Linked DNA regions of Coturnix japonica. The protein of the gene in region 1 binds, or shares a complex with, the protein of each later gene. Links are inferred from orthologs where the notes say so. Each region holds a gene or a part of one and is shown on either strand. Other genes may lie near its edges.

Region 1 (7,360 bases):
CCTGGGATGACAGAGCCATTTTTAAGTCTGGCTGCATCTATATTATCTAACTGTCCTTGACAAGCAAACTGAGGGACATTCAGATGAGCAATATTACCAGTTGCACATGAGAGTTCTTTGTCTAGGTTTATGATGGGGCTGTATTTTCCTTCTCTTCCATCTACATTTGGAAGAAACTTTGACAGACCATCTCTTCCATCATTAACTAGATGTTTATAAATATTCCTATTCTGAACATTTGAAGTATCTGTTTCATGAAGCATGTGTGGTGTTTCAGTCTGTCTTGCACCAAATTGTTGTCTCAAGTCACGTGGTTTGTATTTCCGACCAACTTTATCATTAGCTTCTTCAGTAGTATTTTTGCCACAAGACTTGCTTTCCTTATGGTTTGGCCTAGACTGAGACAGGCAATCTCTTTTTGAGTATTCTACTCCAGTTGGCAGGTCAGAATTTAAGAGCAGAGCTGGAACAGCAGAGAAGAAAACAGACCAAATGAAAGCAAAATTAATAATGGAAGAGGGAAGAGATAATGGACCATTTAAAAAATAGGTCAATCAGCATTCTCAAAATAAGCAGCCTATGTTTACCAATCCATACACAAGCTCGTAAATACCTTGTACCTCCCTAGACACCTACATTTTTGTTACTAAGAGCAATATACATCTACACAGTAAAGAAGCAGATAAATAAGCCAACACACCTGAGTGGGTAGTTTTGCAATGCAATGTGTGTCGAAGAGGGGTTTCCAGCCCTTTAGCCATTGTAACAAGCTTGCTGGCAGCGTTCATTATTTTCTTTTCAGCTCTGCCGATAACCAGAGAACATAACAAAAATTAAAGATCTCCAGACGCGGCATTTTACATAAAGGTAACAACAAGAAAAGACAAAGAATACTGAGGACAAGGTGTCAGACAGCCCAGCAATCCTCTGTCAGCAAGCTCAGCGGCAACTCCACACCGGTCTCATCAGATCAGGCCAGAGTAACACTTGCGCCAACATAGAATGAACAGTGCTATTGGACAAACAATGTTATACTCAAGTTGACATTACTCTTTCAAAACCAAAGATATCCACTCATGCTGGAGCTTACCCTTCCTGTTTCCCATTGTCAGTAAGAAGCTGTTGAAGACACGTCAAGTAGTACTTCCGCATTTTCCGTGCCGTCTCCTGGCGCTCTCTGAGAACCTCTGCTTTAATCATCGCAGCAGCTCGCTCCTTACTTTCACGGATATAACACAGCATGTCACCTACAGAAACATCCTTCATTAGGGACAGCTCTGACACAGAGGGGAGAGAGAAACACCACCAAAAGGACTGCTGAGTAGACCTGCAGCAAGGCAGTGAGGGCCCACATTTATCAGCCAACCTCCTGCTCACAGCCACACACCCACTGTACTTACTTTTTATCTTGCTTACAGATTTAATGTACTGAGCACGCATTTCTTCCAGCCCTTTCACAGAGCCACAGGATGAACAGGCTTTTGAGACACTTCCCTTGGACAGCAACCTGAAAAATCATACAAGTCACATGGCATAAGAGCAGCCTAGATCTTAGAATCATGCCCTTGTTTACACTGTTTTTTGAAATACCTCGGTGATGTGCCCACGTCTTTCAGTTTAGCCTTCATCTCAGTGTTTTCTGCAATTAGACATTCCACAAGCTTCTCGTTTTCTAGAAAAGCCAGTAATGAACCATAAAATAATGTACTTCCCAGCATTCAAGCAAAGCTCAACATAAAACATCACTGCTTTAATGTAGAAGACCTTAATGTCAACAAGTAACACCAGTAAACAATCAGCTAAGGCAGGGACAAGCAGGAAGGAATCAAACAGCACATTTTGCAGAAGCTTAAGTAAATGAACCCACAGGACTTAGCCTGAGCAAACCATAAACTTGCGGGGCCCAAAGGAAAGACCCAGTTTACAGCCAGGAAAACAATGGTTTCCATTTCATTTTGCTAAAGTACTCATGCGCACATACCATAACATCCACAGAAAACTGTATCAAGCAAGAAAGAAGATAAACACAGCCAGTCCAGCCAAGACATTCATAGCTTTCCTTTCTGATTCACCACCCTTACCTTGGACCTGCTCTGACATTGCCCTCTGCTCCCTCACTGAGAGATGAAGACGCCTGCGAGCTGTCTCCAACTCTCTTTTCAAGTCCTCGCACACAGTCTCTTTCTTTTCCAGCTCCTGGCTACAGTGTTCACAACACAAAACTTCCTGAGACCAAAGGATCTTTTTTGCACCTTGCTGATCTAAAACAACAAGCACTAGAAGTGACTCATGAATCAAGGGTCCCAAATGAATCAAACCCAACCTTGCTATTTCCACCCTATGCTAAGGGAGTATACTGTATATGAGTCCAATTTAAGTAATCACAAGAGCCTGGATGCCACTTACAGAACCTGCAGCAGCTCCAATCAAGTCACAGCCTCAGCACGCTCCCATCAACAGTCACATGCAGAGGTCTCAAAACAGGCAGCAATACGACACTGGGAGGTTGAACTGCCACTTATCTATCCCCTTACTTATTCAGTTTAAAGCCAACAGCCAAACAGGGCCTGCTGGAGTCAGCTGAAGGAAACTCACCCAGCTGGGAAGACTCACACGCGGCTGCATTGAGTTAACTTAAGAAATTTACATAGACTGGGCTACTTCCAGGGGAGCAACGGCTGCTTTCTATAGCCAGCACAGGGAGCTCAAGAGGCAGAAGGGCTGCGCTGCCTGCATTGTTTTGCATTTAATAGATGGTTTGTTATTTTGGTGGTGAAGAAATTCAAGCCGCGGTATAGGCACAAAGCCAAAGACTCTCTTGGGCTTTCTCCCTTTATGTTTTTTGGTTGCACAACAACTCAAACTAAACTGAAAGCCCCAGAGACATTGCAGTGCCTCCCATGAAGTTCCTCCTGAGCTACACAGCCCCCACTCTTGCTATGGTGCATGGGACTGCTTTGGGAAAAGCTACAGTGCACAACTATCAGCACGTTTCAAGGGTTGGGAGGGAGATGGGAGCAGGGAGGAGGAGGAGAGAAGCATCGCCTAGGGGATTCACATTTCCTCAGCAACTGAACTCCTCCACAAAAGAACTGGAAAAACTACTGTGCCAGCTGAAGAATCATTCCTGACATAACAATGCCCTTGATGCAAAGGCACGGTTCCTTGTATTGGCTGACAGCTGCAGCAAGCAGGAGATTTGGGGCTTCAAAGCTCTGCTTTAATACTTACCTGCTCCAAGACACCATTTGGTCTGCACCCTGCTCACCAGGCTCAGCACTGGCTTGCATACAAACCTTCAATCACCACAGGTGCAACTGTTCCCCCATCTACAACCTTACCGTCAGAACAACGGCATCTCCCTCTATCATTCAAATGTTCGCAGCTTCAGTGCTACTATTAAGGTTAGTTAGATAACATACAGCTCTGACAGAGTGAAAACAAACTCCATACCTCCACCTGTTCCACTTTTATGCCTTCTCAGCCTTCTTTGTGTTTCTGTTTGCTGTCCAAGGTTGGACAAAGGAGATCTTGCCATGTCCCCAGTTTCTCCACTGCCACCCTGCATGCAGGGGCACACTTCTTTATTTGCATTATTCAGTAGCTCTTCAGTTTTCTGCAATTGAAAGAACACTGTCTGAAAATCCAGCAAAGAGCCAAACACCATGTTCTGCAGCATACTACTTATTAAAGCTAGGATGAAGATGAACAAGCAACACAACTCTATTGGCTCTGTTTCTTGCATTCCAACGGTATTAGTCTTGAACTAGAACTGAAGAAAGCAGCTTGAACAGCAATGGAAATGAGTACTCTTGCATAGAGGATGGTTACTAAGCATAATCCTGTGAAATAGCACTACCTGATAACACCCAGAGTTTGACTCACAGACAGCAGCTGAGTCAGAACAGAATACTGAAAAGTCTACAGAAGGCACAGCAATGGATATCATTCCAGGAAGCTAAAAAGTATGGGCAGGGCTTCAAATATCCTGCATCAGATCAGATGCACGCTTAAATTTGCATTATTTTAAAATTAGCTTTAACTGCCTCCACAGAAAGTCAAAAGACCAGCCAAAAGTATGCCATGCATCCCTGAAGATGAGTTAACAATAGAAATGTGATATCCAATCACTACTGTACAGTTCTGGGTTCCACTGAACGACAGAGGAATACCTCCATTTATTTGCCTGTTTGCTCTGACACACAGAAAGAAATTCCTGAATCACAGGACTACATACCTAAGTAGCCACTATGAGTTTTTAAGATGCTCCTAACTTAAGACCATTGATGTACATCCTTAACCAATCAATGTGGGCATTAAAAAAAATAAATCTCACTCCTAACCTGGTTGTCTTCTACTACAGACACAGAGTCTCACAACTGTACCTTGCCATATCCTTTAAACTGCTGGCCATGGATCTCACCCTCTCAGACAGTTCTAAAGGACTCATTACAAATGACTGCAATTGATGGATTCTATAATTCTTTGGATCAAGCGAATATTACATAGTGAGAAGGAAAAAGGTATGAATCATTCATCCGTTTTCTCACATTATTCATAATTCCCTGAAACATTACCTCTTTCCACTCTTGTTCATGCTTTGCCAGAATTTTATAAACTGTTCTTCTGTAGGCCTTTTGTAGACGTGCCTTCAGTTTGTCTTTGCACTGATGATTTAATTCAACAGGAGCATCAGAATACCTCTCCTCCCAAGAACGTTGACTACAGGTGCTATTAACAAACTCTTCATGGACTTCTCTCAGCAAACACTCAAGCTCAACCACAGTCTTCTCCTCATACCGATTAATTTCATCCTGAAGTCTCTTTGCTTCCTGAGCCTCCCACTCTCGCTGCTTTTGGTCTAGTAACATCTTCATTTCTGCCTCCTTCTGAGCAGAGAGATCATCCACCTGCTTTGCAAGATCCTCCTTTGTTGTTGCAAGTACCTCTTTAATCTTGTTTCTGTGGTCATCTAAGAATGATCGGTAGTCTCTCTCATTTTGCTCTTGTATTTGTGCAATTTCTTCTTGCTTTTCTTTGTTCCACTGAGCACGGGCTTTTGCTACTGCTGCTTTGATAGTCACAGGGATTTCTTCTTCTTTTAGCTCCAATTCTTTTTTGAGAGAAACTACCTTTTCCTCAAGATCTCTAATTCTCAATTCAGACTTCTCTGTATTCTCACGTTCATTCTTCCTTTTTTCTTCATCAGAAGAGAAAGCCAAAGCCAACTGGTTAACAAGTAAAACAGAGTCGTTATATCAAATATACAGAACATTACCGCTCACTGATAAGTTCCTACAGCCTTTAATAAAAACATCATCATTAATGCAAAAGTAGAAAAAAAATATCAGTGTAAGACTATATTAGAAACATCATTCCTTAGTGATTCCCTGTACACACTCATTCACCCATTCGACACAGGACACAGGACAGGAAATCCCATTCAGAAGGACACTTATTTTCTGTTACAAGCTCTGCTGCAGTTTCTTTCTGTTCCCTTGTTTGCTTTTCTTGTCCTGTCTCTGTATTTACCTTGTACTCTTTGAGGTCTGTTAATTCCTGCAGTGATCTGGCACGTGCTTGGGTTAAAGCTGCCTCAACCTATAAACAGATTAAAAACAAGAGTTCAGTTAGGACTGCTTATGTTTAAAGGAAGCAATACAATCAGACTAGCTGCATCTGATGGATTTCCAGATGCAAAAGAAGATTCCAAAATGATGAGGATTAAACTATTTTCTTTCCATTAAAACAATATAAACAAAATGTAACTTTCCTCAGTTATGTTCAAAAGTCCTGAACAGCTCAACCAGCTGTGGTCAAGTGCTAAGTAAAAAATCAGAGCTATGAAAAAAGTTATATGATTCTAATTCTTATATCTAATATATGAAATATCAACTACTGAGCTTGAAGAAAATTAGAGGAAAAGCATATTTTCTAAGGAAAAAAAAAAGTTAAGGTGACTCAGTGGTTCATGTAACTAGACCCATTCAGCATATTAGCACATACGAGTTACATGAAATCCAGGCAAACAGGATAATCATTTGTTACCTGGCTGGCAAGACGTTTACGGTATTTACTTTCAAGTTTTATTTCAAGTTCTTTTAAGGCCTCTTCAGAGGCCTTTTTTTCCTTCAAAGCCTTCTGGATCTGCAGCTTCTGATCCTCAACAACCTTTGCTAACTCTTCAGTTGAAGCATCACTCACACACGTTACTCTATCTGTTTGGCTGCCGCAGTCCTTACATTCACACACAGTTTTTTTAATTTCTTCCAGCCTACTTTGCCATTCTCTTTCTCTCTTAGCAATGATGTCTTCTCTCTTCTAGGAAAAAATATATATCTATATAGATTTAAGACATTCTTCCGCAGCATTCAATTAGAAATAGAATTTCAATAGTATTTAACAAACAAAGCATTGCTGAAGAGCATCAAAACCTAAACCCTTAGCTGGACCCCACATTCCCACCCTTGACCCCCCCTCCTGCACCCTCCAAATTACACCTTCACTATGCATTTGGTATAGAAGGAGTTGTCTATTTTCCTTCCTTCTCCCACCTAGCCTCCATGGGGAAAGATGTGCAAACGGACTTCCATAGTAGGACAGAGCCCAACAGAATAGAAAGCCAAACTATTCACCCTCTGATTAGGATAGAGAACTTCAGTATGTTACATCCGTGATGACATTCTGCAGTATTACTTTATAAAGCCTAATTTTCCAAAGATCACAATCAGCTGTAAAACCTACAGACTTCAGAGGAGTCTGAAACAACAGACCCTCATCAACCACTTCAAACGCCAGAAGAACAATATATAAGACTACCACATATACATATAATCCTTTTCCAAAAAATAAATAAATTCATTCAGTTAAATCAACAAAAACTTGAAATCCCCAGCTTCACACCTCTTTTTCTTCTTTTTCCCAGCACGCTTTTACAATTGTAATTTCCTTCTCAATCTGCACTTCTTTCTCTTTCTGCCACTGCCTCTTTGCTTCAGTCATAGAATTATTATATCTCTCCTCAAGCTCACTTCTCAGAATTTTAAGTGACTCTTCTTTTTCTTCTAAAAGCTGTTTCTTGAGCTAGAACAAAAAACACCAGTAATTAAAATAATAATAATAATAAAATAAAACAGTTAAAGCAAACCTTTACCAGTGAATGACCTATCTTTAGGAGCCAACATTTTAGGGAAGGACAACTACATGAAAAGGAGTAGCTGCAGAAAGAGTTACCAACACTGTAATTTAAATCAACTCTCTGCCCTGAACAATTACAAAGTTGTAATACACAAGAGTGCATTAACCTTAAAAACACTCTAATATGATATGATGCATTAATACCTTATCTTCTTTTATCTGC
Region 2 (7,967 bases), on another chromosome or scaffold:
TTCATGTCTTCTTTAGTTCATGAAACCAAGACAGTTTGCTTTAAGAGAGACAATGCTAGTTAAAAACCCTACACAGTAACCTTATAACGCAGAGGGCAGATAGGTTTATGCTTCTGCAAAGCAGAGTAAGCATTATATTGAACAAAAAAATCAAAGCAATTGACTTCCTACCTGTTTTCACCCCATACAAAAGGCAGAGGAACGTGACACACAGCCTCAGCATATGGGCTCCCACATGGAACTTGTAGAGGTAGAAAATCTTACGGATCCCGCGGTTTCTTTGGCACGTATTCGCTGCCTCTGACAACAGTTTGCTGTCTTTTTCTTCCAGTAATGTAGGTGTGGTGAAAGGAGGAAGTTCCCAGCCAAGAAATAAAGATGGGGCTGAAGTTATACAACCAGCTCTTCTTTCTCAAAAGGTGGGGCACCTTCTCTTGTAGCAGGATCCCTTGTTTTAAAGATTGTTTGCCCAGGGCTGTGACTAATCAAAGGCAGGAACGGTTCAGTATCACGCTGTAAGCAGCACTTTGACTACCTGTGTTGAAATTACTGCCTGCCTGTTCGTCTTCTGCTAAGAGTGTCAAAAGGGAGTGAAGGACGTAGGTGTGCAAAGCCGATCGGTATCTGGGCAGGGCCAGCACTCAGCTTCCCAGGACCCACATTGGTAGCATTGGGACACTCCCATCCGTGTTCCTCTGGTTCTCCCACGCTCTGTCTGTCTCCAGCAGGTGGAAGCCCAGCATCCCTTTTAACCTGTGAGGTCCTTCATGATTTGGATGGGCACCACTTTGTCCTGACAACGTTCCCAGTTCAACTCAATACGTGCTGCCAAGGAGCTGCTGTTTTGGACAGCACTCACACATCTGACATATCCCCACCATGTTTTCTTATAGCCCTGCTGGAACCTTGTGAATTCAGCTCCAATTCAAGCGAGAAAGGCTTTTTTTCCCCCCTTGCTAGACAGTAAGAAGTGGGCAGATGCACAGACAACCATCAGGGCTGGGAAAGGAAGCCTGAAATTGGAGCTGGAAAATCCTGTGGCAAAATTGGTGTGATGGGGATGGAGCCTGTGATGGAGTGAGAGAGGGGAAGGGAAGAGAGAACAGAGACGGCTGCTGGGTACACAAAGCCACCACGCAGCTTCTAGTGTTTTCTTTGCAGGGAGAGGGAACATGGGGAGGATCAGAAATACCTCATTAAGCCCAAGCTCTGTTTTGCCCCCTGCTGAGATACAGCGAGGAGCTGAACTATTACAGTTCCCAGCAGCGTAGCTGTTTCTAAGGTCTATACTGTACATATGAAGCTTGGGTTAATCCTGAGCAGCCTGCTGGCTGCATGCAGCTCCTTCTTGTTCAGATGAGCTCACTGCTGGCTCAGAGCAGGCACTGCTGACTCCTCAGGCAGGGGCTGCCCCAGCCACTCAAACCAAGCATCCTCCTACTCAGCGCCCATGTCCTCACAGAACATCCAACGTGCTCAGCCAATAGGGATTTTGAGTAACCATCATTTGAGCACAAATCGCACCATTTAAACAACGTGTAAATATACAGTGGTCAGCACTGGCAGCGAACTCTAACACAAAACACAGTTATACCTCTTGGGACATAAACCTCCACGGTCACAAACATCCCATCCCCAGTTTTGACATATAAGAACAACTCCAGATGGTGAAAAAACACATTTTTTATCATGTGTAGAAAACACTTAAGAACAGAATTGGCACCAAGTAAAGAATAAGTTAACAGAGAATTTGTCGTGAAATGCCCCCGGATTCATCAGTTTCCTGTGGGAGGGACGTTTTCATGGAGATACTGCAGAGATAAATCCGTCCACTTCATTTCTTGCTCTTTCACAGACTCAGTTGTGCCTCCATTGTCTTGCTCTGGTTCAGGGAGCTCATTCTGAGAACGACAAGAAGAAAAAAGGTACAATGCATTCAGTGCATAACAAGCTGCCTAAAAAGGAGCTGGTGACGAAGACTTCCTATGAATAAATACAAAAAAATCCACAAATGAGACTGGAGGGGGCATCTGAACAATACATATCATACATCCAGATTCAGTTAAAATATTACTGAGCCCAGGGAGGAACAATGTGCTTTTCATATGATTATGATGCTTCATCTGAAAGGTAAATTGGCTTTCCAGGGCCCCGGGGCCTTGCTATGTACTCAGACTGCACACGCAGTGAAGGAGAATATAGAGAAAATGCAAAATAAGTAAATAATAACACGGTGCAATTATTCCATTGCTTGTTTAGATTGTGGTTCTTTGTTGCTGCCCAGAATACAGATACTGCATTTACCGTAGCTCTATTAAGACAGCTGGCTTTGTAACATATCGCTTTCTTATGGCAAGGTGAGAAATCCTTCCTCTTGCTGCATGTGGAGCTCTGCTGTGGCTGTGCTGTAACAACAGGAGATACAACACCAAGCTGCTCAGCATGCAGGGGGGAGGAAGGAGAGTTTAAATGCGATTTCATTTGACTTCCTCGTGTTATTTGCTCCCCGTGTTGCTGCATTGGTTATTATTGGTTTTGGAGGAGGGCAGCTGCTTCCTGCCTCCTCTGCTGAGAAGGAGCTGCTCTTCTTCCAAGAGTGATGCCACACTGTGCTGTAAGGGCTGAATGATGTCACTGCAATTTGGCAATGTCTCTTTGCAGGCATTATCAGATGCCGTGATTTTGGCCGGCTTACACCTGTGCGAACAGGGAAGGGGAGGATCCTCACCCAGAGGGTGGTGACGCACTGAACATGTTGCCCAAGGAGGCAGTGGATGCCTCATCCCTGCAGGCATTCAAGGCCGGGCTGGATGTGGCTCTGTGCTCCACCTACCAGCGGGATGGCCACGTCCTCGTACGGCAGCTTGTCCTCCCTCCACGCGTCATCGATCAGGTCCAGGATGCGGCCGTCCCGCTGCACCTCGCTGTCCATCCTCACCCTCCGAGGTAGCTCCGTACCAGCCCCGTCCCGCGGGGACTCGAGCGGCCCCAACGCGCTCGGTTCTGCCGGCAGCGCTCCGCCCCATCCCGCAGCGATGTTCCGGCGCCCGCTGTACCGTCATCACCCGCCGCCGCCTCCGTTCCTTCCCCTCCCCGGCCGGCAGCGCCCTGCGGGTGGGCTCGGTGCGGTCGGTGCGGTCCGCTCACTGTGCGGTACCTTCTTGTTCCGTACAACCAACCATTTCTCTGCCCCGTCACTTCGTGTCTCTGCCCTTCCTGCTGCCCCTCTATTTCCCCCACCTTTCCCCTCCCGCTGCCCGTGGATGCGGTGGCCGCTGCTTTGCGTGGTTTCCCCCCTGCTGACCCCGCCGGCGCTGGGTGATGGAGGCTCTGCTGGCAGGCATGCAGAGGAATGGCCAGGGGAGGTATGTATGTACGTATGTATGTATGCACCGCTGTGTGCCCGGCCTTTACAACAGCCTCACCGCGGGGCTTCCCTCTTAACGCTCCTTGCCACTCTTCTGCCAAGCTCCCATGGTGTCAATGAGACCCTCGGTACCTTCTGCAGGCGGATGGATGCAGCGCACAGCGACGTGGCTGCTTCGGCACTTTGCAGCGGTCCCTCAGCGCCTTGCAGTCTGTATTTTGCCTCTCTAAGAACGTTATCCCTTTGTTTTCCCCTTTAAAAAGCCCCCTCCTGCCTTGCAGTGCGGTGCTAAGTAGAAGAGTGAGTAAATCCTTTTCTTAAGAGCCCGGTGAGGTTAATGAGACATGCTGAGAGCACCTGATTACTTCCTGCTTGTGCTGGAGCTGCAGACACCCTGAGGAACCCTTAGGTGAAGGCTTGTGGGCTTGGAGATGGAATAACAAGGCTTCATTTATCAAACAAACACAAAACTAAAGGCACTGACACCATTTCCATTGCCGTCTTTGAGGAGGTGACTCAGTGCTGTATCTTTTGCAGTTAACTGGTTGTATAAATGCAGTCTAGACATAGCTGTGTATCAGCAGATGCTGAGCAGGAGGTGTTCTTGCTGTGCATAATAGCTGCTAATTTTTGGGTAACTCGCAGGCCGGGGTGAACATCCAATTTAACTGCTTTTGGCTGCTCTGAGAGCTACTTCTTTCCCTATAGAAGATCTGTCAGCTTGTGAAGGCTGGGTATGTATGCTCTGGGGGAGCAGGGAAATTTCAATCCCTTCACCTATTGATTTCCGTTCCTTTTCAGAGCCTTCCATTTGACAGTCAAATTAAATGGGTGAAGATGATCATGGAGTTCACAGCCCTCCAGGGCTGTATCTTGCAAGCCTTCATACCGTCCTTAGCTTAGCACTTGTGAAGTTTTACAGGGCTTGGTTGAATTGGCTTCAATAATTACTGCACAAATTAGAAGCTGCGGCATCGCCAGGGAGCGTGCTTTCCCCAATGGGTTGGGGATGTTTTATTCTTCATTATCATGTTGTCATCCAACCAACGTAGGGGTTTGTCTGCATTTGTGATATGCTTTTGTTTTCGGGAGCTGAGAGGTTTCTCTGGTGACTGAAAGGGGGTATAAAAGAGCATTAAGGGGAAATGCAAAGTATGGGCAGAATAAGTTGTGGTTTATTTAGGTAATGCGTAGTACCAAGATAAAGGGACCAGTGGTCATAGGGGCTTGCTGTGACATTAGAAAACAAAACACACTGCATGTGCTCTGACTGGGGTTTCCAAAGCATGCCCCATTAGTCACTGCCAAGTTTAGGTCTCTGCCCAGCGATGTTCCGCACCAATCACTGGTGTCACTGGTGTCACTACTGTGGGGATGTGGGACCTCTGTGCTCCTCTTTGTGACCTGAAGCTCTGTCCCTTCCAGCAGTGGGTTCCTGACATCCTGCGAAGCTGAGCTGCAGGAGCTGATGAAGCAGATCGACATCATGGTGGCTCACAAGAAGGCAGAATGGGAAGGACAGACCCAGGCTCTGGAAGCTTGTTTGGGTGTTCGAGAGCAGGAACTTTCCTCTGCCAGGGCTGCACTGGAGGAAAAGCATAAAGAGGTACGTAAAGGCTGAATGTGGATCTGCGTTTCTGTTTGTTTCATCAGATTTCAGTTGAGTTTTTTCTGCTGTTTCGTAGAATCACAGAATGGCCTGGGTTGCAAAGGCCCACGATGCTCATCCAGTTCCAACCCCTCTGCTATGAGCAGGGTCGCCAATCCTGTTTATTGGCCCACTGTGTTCTGGACCTGCAGTTAGGAAGGTGATTGTGGATGGGAAAAGGGAAAAGAGTCAGGGGAGAAAGGAAGAGGAATGGGAAGATCTGGATCAAGAGAAGGGAAACCTTTCCCAAGAGTTTCAAAGCACTGCTTCTTTCTTTGTCCATGTGTTATTTGACATCTCTGCTTCATCCCACTGGGGTAAGAGGATGGCACTGCCATCTCTTCCCTTAATAGATAGTTTGAAATCATAATGGATACTTATAATGAACATGAAAATGACATTGTCACAAGGCAAAAGTGTCAGCTTCATCTCAGCCAGCGGAAGGCAGACACAGCTTGAAAACACGAGGCCAAATCTGAGACTGTTCTCATCCCATCCAACCAGAGATGTGGACATAAGCTTAATTTGTTTCAAAAGGACTGACCCCAGCTTAGAAAACTGGGATCTCTTAACATTCCTTTGCCACTTCCACTACTGTGTATACTTATGAAATGAAGACTAATCCCTCTGTTTGCTGACAGTGTGCTCTGTCTCAGTTCATCTGCTTTGTAATTCTTGGTTCAGGTTGGCAAGTTGCGGCAGCAGCTGGAAGACACTGAAGCAGCCAAACAGGACTTGGTTAGGGAATATGAGCAGCAGCTGAAGAAGTTTCAAGAGGAGGTGAGTTTCAAAAGGAGAAGGTCGGTTTTTAATTCCCTGTTGATATGTGACCAGGTAGGTGAAATGTTTGGCATCATTGCCATTGCTTAAGTGCCATGGTTTTAAAGCTTCCCATTCTCTTCTCTTACAGAAGAGAGCACTGAGCTCAGAGTGATGTTTTTGTGCTTTGCTGGCCCTCTTTTGGGCACATCAGGGGAACGTGGTGACAAAGAAATCTGCAGGAATAAGAACATGTTCTAAGCTGCAATTTCCATGAGTTAAACATCTGCAGAGTTTTAGTGCAAAATCTTCCTGTATTTGCCAATCATAGTCACCACAGCCCTCATATGGAAGTTGCTATGGGTACAGGCAGCAGCAGTTTGCTCCTTCAGCACTTCCTTAAATTAAAATGGGTGGTGGTGGAACCGGCCTTGATTGTATGGAGAAACTGAGATCAGATCAGTACGCAGCCTCATCATCATTTTGCTTCCACTGAGTCTGATTTTATTTGACGGGACCTGTGTTCTCTCAAACCATATCAGTTTGCAAGAAGTGATTTCAGAGCTTCCATCTCGACAAGCTCCTTGTTCAATGCAGGGTGGTACACACACAGTGTCCTGCAGGTGGAACAGCAGCATTCCATGTTGGTGCCTTTGTTCTGCCTGTCTCCACTTGCTTGTCAGAAGCATTGAGTTAAGTGGCATGAGCAGCCAGCAGAGCACTGACCTTTTCTCCCCGGAGAGTTCAGCTTGGTTGATGCTCACTGTGAGCCATAACTTAAATTAATTTGGTAGCCTCAGCTTTGGTGACAGAAGGCATCTGTCCTCATTTACAACACCTTACTGCTCAGTGTGATTAGCAGGAGATGTTCCAGCTGAAATAGTGGATAGGCTGCAGAGCAAGGCTAAGGTGCTTTGGCCAGATCAGGCTATATTGCAATGGCTAGAATATAGTGTGTGTCTTGTGGTTAAAACTGCACTGCACTGGTGTTTTACCCATGTAGATGGCATTAAGCTGCAGTGTTCCTTAGTCTGTTTTAGTACTGTTTGGGTAGATAGATTTTATCTCAGTTTACCACCATCACCAGTAAAATTACAGGTACAGTGTCCACCTCATGGAGGTTGCTGAAAGGATAAACCAGTGCTTGGAATCTGCTGACTCATTTGGCAAAACACATTCTCAATGAATGTGCTTAAGCACCTTCCTGACTCAGGACCCTGGAGAACCTTTCCTGACCACTGTGTGGATCCGAATCATGGGGTCTTGATTCAGATATAAGTTCTCCATGGGTTCCCAAATCGGGAATGATGTCTTCTGAGGTTCATAGGGACCATTTGGAAACTTGTTTAAATGCTTGAGTTGGGGAGCTCATCAGATGGAGAAATCTGTGCAAGTTGCGAGTGGTGATTTGCACAGAGGGTCACTTAAATGTCAGCAGTTTTCTCCTCACTTTTGCTTCTGATAAGAGTTCAGCATTCAAGCAGTAGGCGTAGGAGTGTTATTTTCTGTTGGCATTTTCCAGTTATTGTGAAGTACGTCGTGTATCTGAGCAGAGGATGACAGATGAAGTAGTGTTGATGTTATGTATAATGGCAGTTCTCTAATCTTCCTCCTCCTGCCGAGCGGGAGAGTTCCACTCCTCACCTGAGCTTCACTTTAACCTCTAAGAATGTAGAACTGTCCCTGTGGTTGGCACCAGGAGATGGACCTCAGGTTCTTCTGCTGTTACAGAGTCCTGGGGCTGCCTGTAGAGAGAGGAGGTGCCATGTTAACAGCTACATATAGACCTCCATCTGATCGATATTTCAGTCATGCTCTCATTGTGATAAGACAGAGGTCTAATTGGAGCTGCTGATGTCACGACTTAAGCGTGGCATCCTGCTCCTCTTATACCACTCAGCGTATTTTGTGATCCTATCAGTATAATAGGCTCATTATACAAATAGAAATCTTCATTTGCAAGCTGTGTGGCCTTGATTGGGGGAATTGTTTGCGTGAAGCTATTTTGTTTGCCTTCCTTCAATGTGCTATTTAATTCCTGCCCGCTGGCCTTGAACAAAGTTGCCCCTCTTGCTGAATTCTTGCAGTTGGCCAGGCTGAAGAGAAGCTACGAGAAGCTGCAGAAGAAACAGCTGAGAGAGGCAAGAGAAGAAGCCAACAAGAGGCAAGGGGATGACCAGGTTGAAATGAGCC

Evidence for each region.
Region 2: the proteins of CEP152 (region 1) and CEP63 are in contact, whole or in part, in a crystal structure (PDB 6CSU), measured with the Homo sapiens proteins. The link is inferred for Coturnix japonica from reciprocal best matches to the Homo sapiens genes CEP152 and CEP63. Residues at the interface, in NP_001181927.1 of Homo sapiens: Gly1261, Ala1262, Glu1265, Leu1266, Gln1269, Tyr1270, Lys1272, Ala1273, Lys1276, Ile1277, Asp1280, Met1281, Tyr1284, Glu1287, Ser1288, Arg1291, Ala1292, Met1295, Ala1298, Arg1302; in NP_001340037.1 of Homo sapiens: Phe666, Glu669, Glu670, Arg673, Ile677, Arg680, Leu681, His684, Glu687, Leu688, Glu691, Ser692, Thr695, Phe699.

What each region holds. Positions count from the first base shown.
Region 1 is NC_029525.1:9,161,104-9,168,463, forward strand, and holds part of CEP152 (centrosomal protein of 152 kDa), read right to left. Parts: coding exon 7,342-7,360; intron 7,084-7,341; coding exon 6,904-7,083; intron 6,322-6,903; coding exon 6,049-6,321; intron 5,602-6,048; coding exon 5,533-5,601; intron 5,229-5,532; coding exon 4,578-5,228; intron 3,617-4,577; coding exon 3,454-3,616; intron 2,262-3,453; coding exon 2,082-2,261; intron 1,673-2,081; coding exon 1,591-1,672; intron 1,508-1,590; coding exon 1,401-1,507; intron 1,248-1,400; coding exon 1,091-1,247; intron 805-1,090; coding exon 701-804; intron 464-700; coding exon 1-463. UniProt on the Homo sapiens protein: Necessary for centrosome duplication; the function also seems to involve CEP63, CDK5RAP2 and WDR62 through a stepwise assembled complex at the centrosome that recruits CDK2 required for centriole duplication.
Region 2 is NC_029524.1:2,641,827-2,649,793, forward strand, and holds the start of CEP63 (centrosomal protein of 63 kDa), read left to right. Parts: upstream 1-3,038; 5' UTR 3,039-3,321; coding exon 3,322-3,365; intron 3,366-4,792; coding exon 4,793-4,973; intron 4,974-5,699; coding exon 5,700-5,795; intron 5,796-7,861; coding exon 7,862-7,967. Other genes in the region: LIPH (lipase member H), read right to left, coding at 172-223; ANAPC13 (anaphase-promoting complex subunit 13), read right to left, coding at 1,776-1,901, 2,834-2,932. UniProt on the Homo sapiens protein: Required for normal spindle assembly.